2 linked regions of the Oreochromis niloticus genome follow. The protein of the gene in region 1 purifies or fractionates together with the protein of each later gene. This does not show direct contact. Links are inferred from orthologs where the notes say so. Each region holds a gene or a part of one and is shown in the gene's direction. Other genes may lie near its edges.

The links. Proteins that work in one complex are often made in the same cells at the same time.
Region 2: the proteins of phf14 (region 1) and hmg20a purify together in Homo sapiens (affinity purification with mass spectrometry; 3 studies listed by BioGRID and IntAct, counting the BioPlex papers as one, with this or other methods). This does not show direct contact. The link is inferred for Oreochromis niloticus from reciprocal best matches to the Homo sapiens genes PHF14 and HMG20A.

Annotation. Positions count from the first base shown.
Region 1 is NC_031985.2:37,420,488-37,427,551, forward strand, and holds the start of phf14 (PHD finger protein 14), read left to right. Parts: upstream 1-4,048; 5' UTR 4,049-4,155; intron 4,156-4,423; 5' UTR 4,424-4,517; coding exon 4,518-4,524; intron 4,525-7,064. UniProt on the Homo sapiens protein: Histone-binding protein. Binds preferentially to unmodified histone H3 but can also bind to a lesser extent to histone H3 trimethylated at 'Lys-9' (H3K9me3) as well as to histone H3 monomethylated at 'Lys-27' (H3K27ac) and trimethylated at 'Lys-27' (H3K27me3).
Region 2 is NC_031972.2:45,102,477-45,109,510, forward strand, and holds the start of hmg20a (high mobility group protein 20A), read left to right. Parts: upstream 1-4,033; 5' UTR 4,034-4,187; intron 4,188-6,168; 5' UTR 6,169-6,192; coding exon 6,193-6,258; intron 6,259-6,420; coding exon 6,421-6,630; intron 6,631-7,034. UniProt on the Homo sapiens protein: Plays a role in neuronal differentiation as chromatin-associated protein. Acts as inhibitor of HMG20B. Overcomes the repressive effects of the neuronal silencer REST and induces the activation of neuronal-specific genes.

The DNA of each region.
Region 1 (7,064 bases):
CGCACGCTTGAAGTACGCATTTTGAGTGCGATTACGTCACCGCCACGCGACGACGGCTGTCCCAATACAAAGGCCGTTTCTCAATTCTCAAGTACGCGAGTACGTACTCGCGTTCTCGGTGAGTACATACTCGCCAAGAATGCACGGGAGTACGTACCCGCCGAGAACGCGAGCACGGACTCGCGATATGTACAATTGGAACACCTGCGTACGTGATGATGTCACAGGTCCGGAGTTTTTACTGCCGTCCCCTCTTAATTTAACTGTGAGTAACATGTTATGAAGCTTAACTGTAATCACAGCCAAACCGGTTTACTCAGGAACAAATAAAACACTGAAATAAACCAAACATTAACATTTAGAAGTGATCTAAGTGACTTATATATCATTTTTAACCTCAGTAGTGAAACCTCTATTAATAAAAATAGTGTACATGTACATACGTGTACATACCTTAATAAAAACAAGCAGGTGAGATGTTAGAACGCTTTTATTTCTATTTTAGTGGACACTCAATACTATAGACAGCTGCTGGGGTTTCTTTAACCTGAGTAGTGAGAAGACCGCGAGCGGGGGGGGGGGGGGGGGGGGGGGGGGGGTTGAAAACGATGTGCCGGCAGTCCGCTGTTGAGTTTTGGACGAAATGCATTCTGGGATATTTAGCTGTACCAAGTCCACACCGATGCATGCTCGATAAAATGGGCGGATCGAGAACACATCCGGGACTTTTTCGCGTTCTCAGCTTGATGCGTGCTTCGAATTGGAACAGTACTTGGTCTCCGACTGATGACGTATCACGAGTACACGAGAACGCAAGTACGCACAAGTACGCATATTGAGAAACGCCCAAAGTGTACTTCAAATGCATACTCCAAATGCACCGTCGATTTCCCCAAATATCAAGCGTGGTGCACGCTTCGTGGTCCCATATATCCCACAATTCATAGCGCGGTGGTGGGTGTGGATAATTTTGCCGCAAAATACAGCAGACGGCAGAAGGGAGCTGCCGAAGAGTGAACTGTCAAAAGTAAGTACTGAATATGATGTCATTTATGTGCGAATGTTTAATAATGAAGAACATTAAAACATTACTGTTGGCCACATGTCGGCAAAGTTATGTGACATTAGCGATGTTAGTACTTTCAGTGTTAACTTGGTTTTAAAGCCTCTACTTCAATATATATATACATACATATATAGTTGACCTTAATCTTACAGAGAATGTGATAATTTCATGGATAATTAAAGTCAGTCATATATCCACAAACACAACAAGCTGAAAGTCAGTGATGCTGCTCGGTTTGCAGTCCTGAATATGACGGCACAAGCAGGATTCACTGCACTGTTAATGTTAGCTATGTTATATTGCTGCCTCTGTTCGGTGGTGTCGAGCCAAACGGACTTTAACGTGTGTTTGAACGAGCTGACGGTTCACTCGTTAAGCTGAAAGAAAGATGCTTTAATCACAGCAGTCACACATGTGTCCACTGTAGCATCTGGGAGCTCTTCTTGTTTAGCACTCGTAATAACACAAACACTAAATCCTCCTCCTCTTGTGCTGTTTTGTAGCAGTGTGTACACCTGAGACTGTCACCTGTCTGTCTGTCCTGCACTCTCTCTCTTTTTCTTTCTCTCTGATTGTGGAATAAAAGTATGAACATGTATTTATAAGTTACACTTGTGTTTGAATCCTGCAGCTCATCACAAATTTGACTTCCATGTGTGACGACTGCAAGTGTCCAGAGTGAGGACAGACTGAGGGACCCACTGCTGCACATCATCTGTGAGGCTTTGCACCCCTGATGATCCACCATGACAAACTCAGCAGTGTGTAAGGAAGAGGAGGAGGAAGAGCCAGCAGCAGCTGACAGATGGAGAGAATAGACAGACTGTTCCCTGTTTGTGAAGGACTGCTAGAAAAGTTTAAAATAACTAATTGTCTGTCCTGAATCAGTCTTATTAGGTAATGTTCAAATAATTTTATCATTCCAGTGTTTTCAGTGTGGGAGAAAGTACTCAGGGCCTTCAAGTTACACACTATGAAAGGCAGCAACAAGTTTAATATTCAGAAACCTGAAGTATGTATCAGCAGCAGAATGGAGCTAAAAATAAATGTTTGTTTCAGTTCTATGAAGCTTTGAGTATTTTGGATTAGTAGCACTGCTGTGTTTGTTGCATCATATTGCTGTAATTGTTTATATGCTTTATATATTCTGAGGTAAGTTGATCTATAGTGTTACATCATATTCTATAAGGATGTTATGTGTTTGTATAGTTTCTGCCCAGTTTGACCCATTTAGCAGAAGGCAGCCTGTTTAAGGCTCCAACTGAGGAATCCAGTGCATATGACAATGTCATGTTGGATTGCATTTTGAAAAATGACACAAAAGTTAAACACAGTGCATTTAAATGCCTAAACTTCCATATGTGATGCGCTGGAGAGAGACCATCCTCACCTCACTTTCTCTTGGTCTCAACTTCTGAAAACTTTTTTTCTGATTTCCTTTTGTGTTTGGGGAGTGTTTTGAGGATTTTACTATACTAGTACATAAGGACTATAGGCATAAACCCTTTTTTTCTGCTTGAAAAACAGGTGCAATGAAGTGGCTGTTATACTTCTACCTGGCCTGACGATCATTATCCCACTGATTTCAATGTCAGACAAAGTACTCAACACATTCCCTTCAACACTATCAGCTGCAAACAGGCTCCATGTTCATCAAAGCAGAGCAGGAGAGAAAAGGATGAAAATGCTGATAGTGATGATGACAGTGATCACTACTGTGATATCCTCAGTATTTTGATACAAGCTGATAAAAACGGCCTCTTTCTAGCATAATTCAGGGCCATTTTTCATCAAGAAAGGACAGCTGTAATCATCCCTTTTGCTTTCCTGTCCCATCCGTCTTCCCCTTTACATGCATCAGGATCAATCTAGGTTCATTTATTTTAATCATCTCTTATTTGCGAAACTGACAAAGTCAAAAGAGGACAACAGAAACAAAGTTGATTTTGAAAATGAGTCAAAGTATACATTTATACAACTACATTCTTTTGCAGCATCGTTCACAATTTTTCATTAGAAAACATAATTTTTCATCCCCCCCCCCATCTGTTTTAAATTAAGTAAGTTAATTGTCAGCATTAGATTCTCTGTTAAATTATTTTTTATCAAAAATAAGCAAAAAAAAAAAATTCCAAACATCTGACATGAGCAATGATACAATTAAAAAACAATTAATTAACAATACATTTTGAATCCTATAACTTTAAATTAAAAATGCTTAACAATTTAAGTGTAATTTTGAATCTTTGAAAAATATATGTGGATAATTTATTTGTCCACCTTTTTCATATTGATACAGTGCACCCAACCTGATTGTTCAAACCTGAAAAGTATTGTTATTCCACCATAATGTGAGAATGTTCATAAATAGATTTTAAAATGGAATTTTAAACTTTTACCATCCCCAAGAATGTTCAGTGTAGTTGACATCAATTCCAGCTCAAATAGGTACATTTTTAGAAAAGTTCTCCATAACCATCTCTGATGTGCATAAACATTTTATCTCATTTATTTTTTTTTATAGTTAGCTTTTTACACACTAACCTTTATTTTCTCTCTATTTAACTGAGTTCTTTTGTGTTATGAAGTTTTTACCTTATGGAAATTTTGTTGTGCTACATACAAATTTCAAGCTATTGATTGGTTTTAGCTGTTGTAACAGGGATTTTCCAACTTTTGGGGAAAAAAAAGTTATGTTATTCTATTGGAAGACTAAATGAAAAATTAGTAATTATTCTTTAACAATACATAAATAGATAGAAATCCCCTAAATTGGATAGTTTATGATAAAAACTTGTATACAGTAAGTGGGGGCTGTATTAATATTTTCTACGGTTCCAAACTTAGCATTGGTTTTATAGTAGGCCTACATGCACTCTATACACAATTAATGTTATCATTAAGAAAATAAAGTTTATAAACTCAGATATTATTATTTTGATTCACTAGCTCTCACGTGACTGTCATATTGTACTACGTAACTGTCCTCATAGCAACAATATGCAACCGTCGGTACGTCACCACGGTGTTCTCCATTGTCCATATACCATGCTTCTAATAGACCTGTCGTAGTGAACGTGAAGTACAGAGTGAGTCCTTCCACGTCGTCATTTATATGTATATAAAGTCAAATTGTATTTGCCGTCTGGCACAATTAACAATTATTTGTTCCCTCGAACTGTTGCTAGTTAGCTAGCCCGGCTGTACTTTGTGACTAGTAGTGATGTTGCTGGTATGCTAAATGCTAATGCTGTTGTGTTTCACGTGCAGTTTTGCATTAACTTGGTCTGATGTTAATACATTTACTTGGATCTTACTTTTCGATGCTTTTAATTGTGTCCCTATATGTATACTAAGAGCATCACGAGCATCAGGGATTCAATCAGAACGTCATAATTTAAATACAGCTAACATGCTCAGCACGATTAGCTATGGTGCTTGACGGACCAAAATGTCTGGTAAGTGTACCTCTTAGGCTGTTTTAGACGACTATCGTAGATTCTTCATTTAAAAAGAAAAACAAACATGTATCGTTCGTGAAAACAAAACCGCAGCGGTGCTATTTGTTTGCTAACAGCGTGCTAATAGGCAAGTTGCGTAGCTAAGAGCTGTACAAATCCCAACATCAGAAAACCTAGTGTCTGCAGCTGATTAACGTCGTGTTTCGTGTGGTGTTGAAGGGAAAATAATACATAGGTTTACGTCACTATTTAAAGACGCGTTTGGGAGATAACTACCCTTTTGATACAGGATACCCGAACGTTAAGGGCTCACAAGTAATTGGACGTTTGGGTGCTGAATATTTTTTTGCAGCAGCATAGATTGACTTGCATAAAGCACAAATTGAGTTTGCTTTAAATGTCTTTAAGTTTAACTCGCTGTCAATATGAGGTGCAGTCCGCACAGGTGAACTAGACCATCATTATAAAATTGAGGCAACTTTGTATTGTCGTACACAACCTACCTATGGCACTGCAGTACCTTTGGTATTTTATAGGTATATGTTTTTTCCTATGGCTAGGAGTTTTCAACCATAAAACACCTATCCTATCCTTTCAAACATAGTTTCGTGGAGTTCTCCAAAACTCAGCAGCATGTAGGCCTGTAGGCCTGATTGATTGGCAAGTGGGATTAAACTGCTTCTCCTGTTCTGGAGTTCACCAGGAATGTGAGGGGCAAGAAAAAGATTCTGTATGAAAAGCATAGACTTGGTTGCAGAAAACAGTATAGGCCTTCACAGCCTGGAACTGTCTTACTGACAAATTGTCAGTGGCTCTCTCATTGACATTTTTCAGCCCTTTATGGACACTTAAGTCTACCCCATTTTTTTTTTCCTCTTTTTTTCCCCTCAATTCAGGGAATAACCCATAGTTCACAGTGTTCCATTGTCATACTCTACGTTGTGTTCCAGCGAAGTGCTCTATTAGGGTGATGCAGTACTGTGGGGTCTTTAAGATAAGATGGGGCCTGATTATTCAAGACCTTGTATGTGATGAGAAGAACGTTAAATTTGAACCTGGATTGTCAGACAGTCACAGACAGGCAGCCAGTAAAGATAAGCCGATATAGAGAAATATGCGCTCTCTCTTTCAAGTGCCCGTCAGTACTCTTGCTGCAGCATTTTGGATCAACTGAAGGCTTTTCAGTGAGTTTTTAGGCATTTTTTTAAAATAATAGTCCAGCTTGGAAGCAAGAAATGTATGAACTAGTTTTCCAGCATCACTCTGAGAGAGGGCGTTTCTAATTTTAGAGAGATTGTGCAGAAGAAAACAGTCCTACATATTTGTTTAATATGTGCACTGAAGGCCATATCCTGGTCAAAAACAACTCAAAGACTCCTCACAGTGCTACTGGAGGTCAAGGTAGTGGCATCCAGAGGCTAGATTCCATATTTGTAAGACTTTTTTATGGCCGAGCACAATAACCTAATTTTTAATCTAAATTTAGAAGCAGAAAATTAGAGGTCATCTACCCACCTTTGAGACATTCCTGCAGTTTAACTAAATAGTGTGTGTTATCTGTTTTGGATAGATAAAGTTGAGCATCACCTGTATAGCAACAACAATGTATTCTGTGCCTTCTAATGATACAGCCTAAGGAAAGGATGTATAATGTAAAAATAATTGGTGCTAGCTAGGGCTGCTCAATTAATCGAATTTTAATCTAGATTACGATCTGGGCTTTCAACGATCATTAAAAATGACTAAGCCGATTATTAGCACCTCCCTCGTGCTTTACTCTCGCTCTGCTCCGTGTAGCAAATCGAGCGCACCTCTCTGCGTTTCGAACACGCGTCACAACAATTAAGAGGACCCGAGGGTTGCTCGGAAAGCTCGGAAAGCTAAGCAGAAGTTATTTGTAGAGGAGAGGATAATGGCTGCTGAAGAAAGAATGCCGCTGGTTGAAAAGAGAGATAAAACGACTTCAGTGGTGTGGAAACATTATGTGTTCGCGGAGTCAGACGTGGATCAAATATTGTGCAGTATTTTGAAGTTCACTAAACATAGATGTTTACATTTTTCATTTATTTTTTATATTGCAAACATTTCCACTGTAATCATTATTTGCACACTATTTTATATTATTTTTTGACATCTTTAAAGTCATTATTCAATACATTGTTATTGTTAAATAAATATCGTCAAATAATCGAGATCTCAATTTCAGTGAAAATAATCGTGATTATCATTTTTGCCATAATCGAGCAGCCCTAGTGCTAGCACAGAACCTTATGGAACTCCATAATTAATCTTAGTGTGTGAAGAGGACTCTCCATGTTTCAAACCACTTCAGCATACCTTTAATACCTACAGCATGCTGTAATCGCAGTAATAAAACATTATGGTCAGCAGTACAGAACGCTGCACTTTACATATGGGCACATAACGACCTGCCAGCATCTCCTTTTCGTAGCCCAATTTTATTTGAAATACTATCAAATAAAATATTATCACTTTTATGCTTTGTAATGATCATTAGGCAATAAAGTAAAAACAAT
Region 2 (7,034 bases), on another chromosome or scaffold:
CGATTCTACATAGCAAGGCTACCTCTTATAAAATTCATGACTGTTAGAGACCTAGAATATGAAATATCTGCTGGTAGAGTTGCCATTTTTATTGCCGGACGCTTTTTCCAACCTCGCCAATATCAGGTTCTTTTTGTGTGCTCATTGTCATTATTATTTTAAATCCCAGAGTGGAGAAAAAAAATACAGCCTCATATGGTAAACAACTTTTCTGGCCGTGTTGCATTGACCAGTTTAGTGTAGCTTGTCAGAGTTTGGTTTGAGATGCATGGACTTAGAGTTTTTGCACTAGTGTTCAATATTTTCCTGCAGGGAAAAATCCCACTGCAGAAAAACCCAAAAATGTCAGTTTTGCCACAGACAGCAGGCTCTGAATGAGATGTACCCACAAGACACTTGACTTAGAGCTGTTACTCCTCTTTTTAACCTGCCAGGACAAGCTCACTTTGTCAGTGTAACTGCTGCTACAGCACCTCTGTGGGTACAACGGGATAACCAACAGCTACACTAGAAATCAAGGCAGCTCTGTTTAATATGAAAACTTCTTTTTGAAATAATAGCAGCAAATAGATTCTAAACTTCATAGTGTTTAAATGTTAGAGATCTCATATTGCCTGGAATTTGATGTTGTGATTGTGTGAACAAGATATTGTAAAATAAATATATAAATAAATAAATAAAGACTCTCTTTTCTAAAAATCTAACGGGTGGCTTGATGCACCCAATCTGTGCCGAAGAACTGGGTTGGATTACCTCAGGATAATTGGAGTGAGATTACAATCAAAGTTTTAATTAGACTGCAGCTACAGTTGGTTTACTCCTGCCTGGGTGTCGATTTACGATCTGTTAATTAAGAATTAGCGCATTAGCCTTCCCTGTCTCGCTCTCCCTCTCGGAAGCACACGCTTTTATCTTGCATCTTAGCGAAGGTTTTAGTTCTGTTTCTCACACCAAGACTGTTTGAACACCCCACATTAACCCACAGAGAAAGTTGTGATTTTATCTACACCTACGTGGATGTGTACTCAAATCCACCCTTAGTTACAAAGAACAAACACAACCTTGTTTTGCTTTTCAAAGGTATTTTTAACAATCTTGAGGAACAGGTATTTTTACTTGATCTATAAAGTAATTATATTAACAGTTAGTGTAATGTAATAACTTCACATGTAACTTTTTTCAAGTCTAAGACTCAAAAGTCAAAGTCACAATGTCATAAAACCTGAATAATCCCTCTAAATTTTGGAATCAGATAAAATTACTGGCATGTTCCCAGTTCTACTCCAGTCCTGCCTGAATATATATTTATTAAATGAGTTGAGATTAAGAGTAAAGCTGACATTGTTGGACATTTTAATGAACAGCTAGTTCTGTTTTTAATACAAATGTGGCAAAGTGTCTGTGTTCTGATTTGAATGTCATCTTGCCTTTTCAAAGAACCCTTTTGTCTTTAGACCTGTTTTGACTGTGGTGACTCGCAAAGCTTTGAAATCCACTGATCCAAAAAAGGTTATCTAGACCTGACAGTCTGAATACTTATCTTTTCAAGCATGTAGCTGATTTTATTATTGAGCCTGTTATGGCTGTTTTTAATCTGAGTCCCTAGAATAATATGATAATACCTGGAAAATAATAATACCTGGAAAGCAGTCTATGTCTCTCTCGGGGCGATCGTGGCTCAAGAGTTGGGAGTTCGCCTTGTAATCGGAAGGTTGCCGGTTCGAGCCCCGGCTTGGACAGTCTTCACCCGTTGCCTACTGGTGGTGGTCAGTGGCCCGGTGGCGCCAGTGTCCGGCAGCCTCGCCTCTGTCAGTGCGCCCCAGGGTGGCTGTGGCTACAATGTAGCTTGCCATCACCAGTGTGTGAATGGGTGGATGACTGGTTGTGTGAAGCGCTTTGGGGTCCTTAGAGACTAGTAAAGCGCTATACAAATACAGGCCATGTTTGCCCCTTATTAAAATTTAAACAATTATCCCCCTGCATCCACACTTTCAATGTGGATGCAACTCTCAGTTGAAAGAATACTTGGTTGACAATAAGATTGTATGTGAAACCCAGTCTGGCCTTAGACTAGGTCATAGCAACAAATAGGTTGGTAACAAATTATATTAATATCATTAATTCCTTGGACAGGAAGCATCTGTGCCGCCTCGGTTGCTAATCGAGGCGGCACAGATGAATGGGTTATGCTAAAGGCATTGATTCTGTAGACCGAGCTGTTGTTAGGCTCAGTGATGTTGCTTTCAGCTCAGGAGCTACTTGAACCAGCCATCTGTATTAACACTATGTTTATACAGATGGATACAAGTCAAACTTTTAAAAGGAATCCCCTAAAGTTCAGTTTTAGTTTGTTTTGATAATGGCTCTGTTTAATTTTCTGTTTTTTATTAATAACATTGGGAAGCTAAAGTGGAACTTTATGCAGGTGACACAATACTTTACTCAGCTGGCTTCAGTCTGGATCAGATGGTAAACGGACTGATTCTTATATAGCACTTTTCTACTCTCTTGGAGTACTCAAAGCGCTCTGTACAACATGCCACATTCACCCAGGCACACAAGCACTTTCTTCTAAACTACAGTCATACTTTGATGGATGAATCGGAGAGCAATGTGGGGTTAATATCTTGACAGTATCCTTCAGAACAAGGATAGAGCAAGGATACTTGATATCCAGGAGTCCAGGAAACCACTAACCTTCCGATCAGTTGGTGATCTGTTCTACCTCATGAGCTACAGCCACCCACAGTTATCATTGCATCATTGCATAATGCTGCTTTCCAGAAAACACGTCCAGATCTCTCACAAAATGTTTGTTTTTATTTGCTAGGCATAGACTTTATTGAAAGAGTATCAACCAATAAATATTTAGGTATTTATGCTTTAGAGAGCACCTTGTGCATTCTTATACTCTCTTGATTATGCTCACCTTTACCTTTCACACATTTACATACATGCTGCCTTCTCTGCACTTTACATTTCATAATAATATCATTTTATAATCTGGTTTCTTGTCCCTCATTAAGCTGGTAAACAGCACTGGTATATTTGTACACCCTTTCTTATCTGTGTAAACTCCTAAAACATCAGCTACTAATTTGCACTCCTCTGTAGGATTTCTTCTGAACTTGGTAGTGCAAACTTCTCTTTTTTTGAATGTGTTAGTCTCCCTTGGAGAGTTCAGCGCTATTATAAAGTCTTCTGCATTTGAAGAGTGCAAGTGTTATTCATAAGCTGGACTCTATGTATTTATTCATTCTATTTTTATATTATGTTCCTGTTATGTTAACTTTGACCTGCTTATTTCCTCTTATGTGTACTGAGTTATAATTCATTTATAATTTGTAATTTTGCAATGGTGTACCATCTTGGACAGGCCTCCCTTGCAAAAGAGAGAATAATCTCGAGGGATTTCCTAGTTAAATAAAGGCTAAATAAAATAAATAACAGTGGTACTTGAATTAATGTGGATTGTCTTATAAATTACAAAAAGATTAAAGACTCCTAACTGCAGCCCAAATCAGAAAAAAGATTTTCATCTCATCCATTAAATACTTCTAACAAGCTCTGGTTTGTAGCTTGTTCCTGTGTTTGATTAGAAAGGCTTAAGGCTTGAAATTTCTCAAGAGATTTTGACTTTGAAAAACGTATCCATTTAAGACATGTAATGCTTATACTCAACCGTAGGGGGAGGTAGCGCTCTAAATGAGGGTGGTTGGTTGGGTACACGAAGAAAAATGAGACCAAGAATTAGAAAGCATAGAGCAGTTCGCTGTATAGAATCAAAGAAAATCAGCTTTTGGGGGTTTTAAAGACATCACGTAGAAAATATTTTCTAATTTTCGTTTCTTATGCTGTTTTTTTCTGGTGCTTGTTTTGCATGGGTGGAATCAGAGACCACCCAGTTACAGTCAAATGTATAAATGTATTGCCTATTATATATATATATTCAGAAAAGTCGCATTGCGCTATAAATACATTGCTTTTCTCATAACTGCCAAAAAAGCACTGATAATATGAAACATCAAATCATACGCGTAGGGAAAACCGTCTGTAGTAGGACTAAGTACATCAGGAGCCCCCATGCTTTCTGTCTATCTGGTGCGATTCTATCTGAGTGGACATTTTTATTGTTTTGATTAGGAAAATATTCTGGGCAGCTCCAGCTAGAGGGTGCGTTATATAAGGTTGGTTTCCACACAATGGCTTCCGTTATATCCACATAAAATATTTAGATTCCTGATGTATCAAATCACATGTCAAGGTTAAATGAAAACAAAGGCTTTCGATGACCCATCTTCATGCTAATGGCTTGCTAATGCTAGCTAGGAGCACACTTCGCAATCAGCTAAGAAGTTTAATATATTAGTGTTAGCTTGTTACTTCTGATAATTATCATTTGAATATGTCTCCCTTTTTTATGTCGATTGATTGACATTCAGCTGACACACAGCCCAAGAGTGAGGTTTGCCTGTCGCAGCTGTTGAAGTTAGCTTTGCTTAGCAAGTGTATGTTAGCATCATGTAGCAGCCAGTATAGTTCGCTATTCCTGCTGGCCAAATGGATTATTATTTATTTATTTAATTTTTAGCGATACATCAGTATAATAGCCCACATAAACATCTAGCTACATAAGTTAAATGTAAGTCTAATCACTATCTGGCCTAGCGTGTTACTGTTTAAACATACTACTTCAGGGGTTAGGCCTTTAATGGCTAAACGCTAATGGTTGATTATCACACAGAGAAGATCCCACATACACATACATAAACGTCGTAACGACTGACAGAGAGCTCCTAAACCTAACCTAACAGCATCCTGCGGTGTCTAATAATTTATAGCTGCTGCTGTGTAAAATATAGAAACATCAGTTGGCCTAGATACCTCCTTGTACCAAAGTAAAGCTGTATACTATAATAAAGGACAAAGCGCACTCTGGTATATGCCTTATGGTGATCACATACTGCTTCAATATGTCACCGTGTAAAAAGTGAAACTATTAAACCTCATATTTTATCTCACAGATTGTGATAGTGGACCATTTTATCTGGAGAAAAGAGATTTGAGTCATGCATCATGTGCTAAGGTCCAGCAGAGGGCACTGTGGCATAGCCTTTTTCTGCTACACAGAGCATCTGTTTAGTCTTTTCTGTGCTCGTTTTTACTTTTTAGTGAGTTTTTTTTTTCATAGTCAAACCCAGCGTCTTACAACCTAACCCAGAACTCCTAAAGTAACATCAAATAAGCTTCCTTGGATGACAGATGGGGGATAAGTTTGCAGAATCACTGGATTTTATTATCACTTCTTCAGGGTCTGAAAAAAAGTCTAACAAAGAAAACCCTGGCTTACCCCTCTTTTCTGGGGGGGGCTTTCCATAAGAGCTTTTTGTGGTAGACTGACTAATTCCTCTGTGACTTTTCCCACAGTATTTAATGGCAGAGGGCAGAAACCACATCCAGGCTAAAGAGGTGTATTTCCCATGTTGTCAAAGGAGAGGTCAAAGGTTAAAATGCACAATGTTGCTCCTATATTTACAGCTCAACCTGGGCTGCAGCTGCCCAAATCAGCACAGGTTTTAATTTGGTGCTATTGCCATTCATTTGGGGTTTTTTGCACCGATGCTTTGCAGTGTTTTCAAGTGGGTTAGAGACTCCAAAAATATGGCGATTCCAGTTAATCTCATTTTTTAAAGCACTGATATTTGGTGAGTGAGTGTGCTTTTATTGAGAGAGTGTTTTAGCACGTTCAGTGGTGTTCTCTTATCTCCAAGTTTAAGGCAATACTGCCACACTGCTGCTGTTAAAAATAGGCTGCGTTAGTGCTTGAGAAGTGAATGTGTTATGTTTTTCTTTTTTCATTTACTTGCTCAATTGTGATTGATAGCAGCAAGACATTTCTATTAGAGGAAATGAGGCTGGCCAAGAGACTGTTTTGCAGCCAAGCCTGGGTGGAGTTTGGACAAGAAGCCGATCAGTCTCAAAATGCTTAACCCACCTTTGGGCAGCAATCTATGGCCTAGTTTTTCACCTGACTGCCATAGATGGCACAATCTTTAGGTTAACTAAACATTGGCCTTTTGAGATCGTATATTCATGTTTTAAAAATAGTTTATTGGCCGTTTCTGCTGTGAAATGTTTTTTGTTCTAACATCTAGTGTTTCCCTCCAGATCTAATCTTCCGTCGTAAGAGTCATGGATGAGCAGACGGGCTCACCTGCAGCCAATGCTGACAACAACAGCCAGAGAAACGGAGATGAGGTAAGAGGTGAACACACAGATATCGAATGACACGTTTAAAAAAAATACATATATAAATTAATAAAAATTCCAGTTCACACTGAAAGAAAGTCTTGCCAGTACACGTCAGGGTAGAACTCCTACGTGAACCTTTAAAACATGTTTGTTTTCGTTATCTCGCAGAAACCCCGACGTGGCAGCTGGACCAAGGGGAGGAAGAGGAAGAAGCCAATGAAGGACAGCAACGCTCCCAAGGCCCCCCTGACGGGCTACGTTCGCTTCATGAACGACAGACGGGAGCAGCTACGGGCAGAGCGTCCAGACGTGCCCTTTCCAGAGATTACAAGGATGCTGGGCAACGAGTGGAGCAAGCTGCCCCCCGAGGAGAAGCAGGTCAGCAGAGAAGTTCGAGACAGGATTACACAGTGAGCCCACAGTGGCGGAGAGACATGTGTCAAACATTTCTGTTGGCATTTCTTTCCATCTGTTTTAAGATTACCTGCAAAAGGATTAAAAACAAATCTCTATGTTTTCACTCACGTCCAACTATGGAGTGCAGCTTTTGAGAAAGCAGTGGAAGAAAATAAAGAGAGCAGAAGCAAGCGATATTCATCTGGAACCTGCCAACACAGAATATCCCTTGCCAGATTTAACAATACCTCAGACCAGCAAAGCATCATGTAATTTTTCACTTTGCACAAAAACGGCTTAGGGAAAAACTTCCCTTAGAATCCATAGCAACCGTGTGTTTGGAGCTGACAAAGAAATTCTGACGGCTTCTAACAGATCGTAGCTTG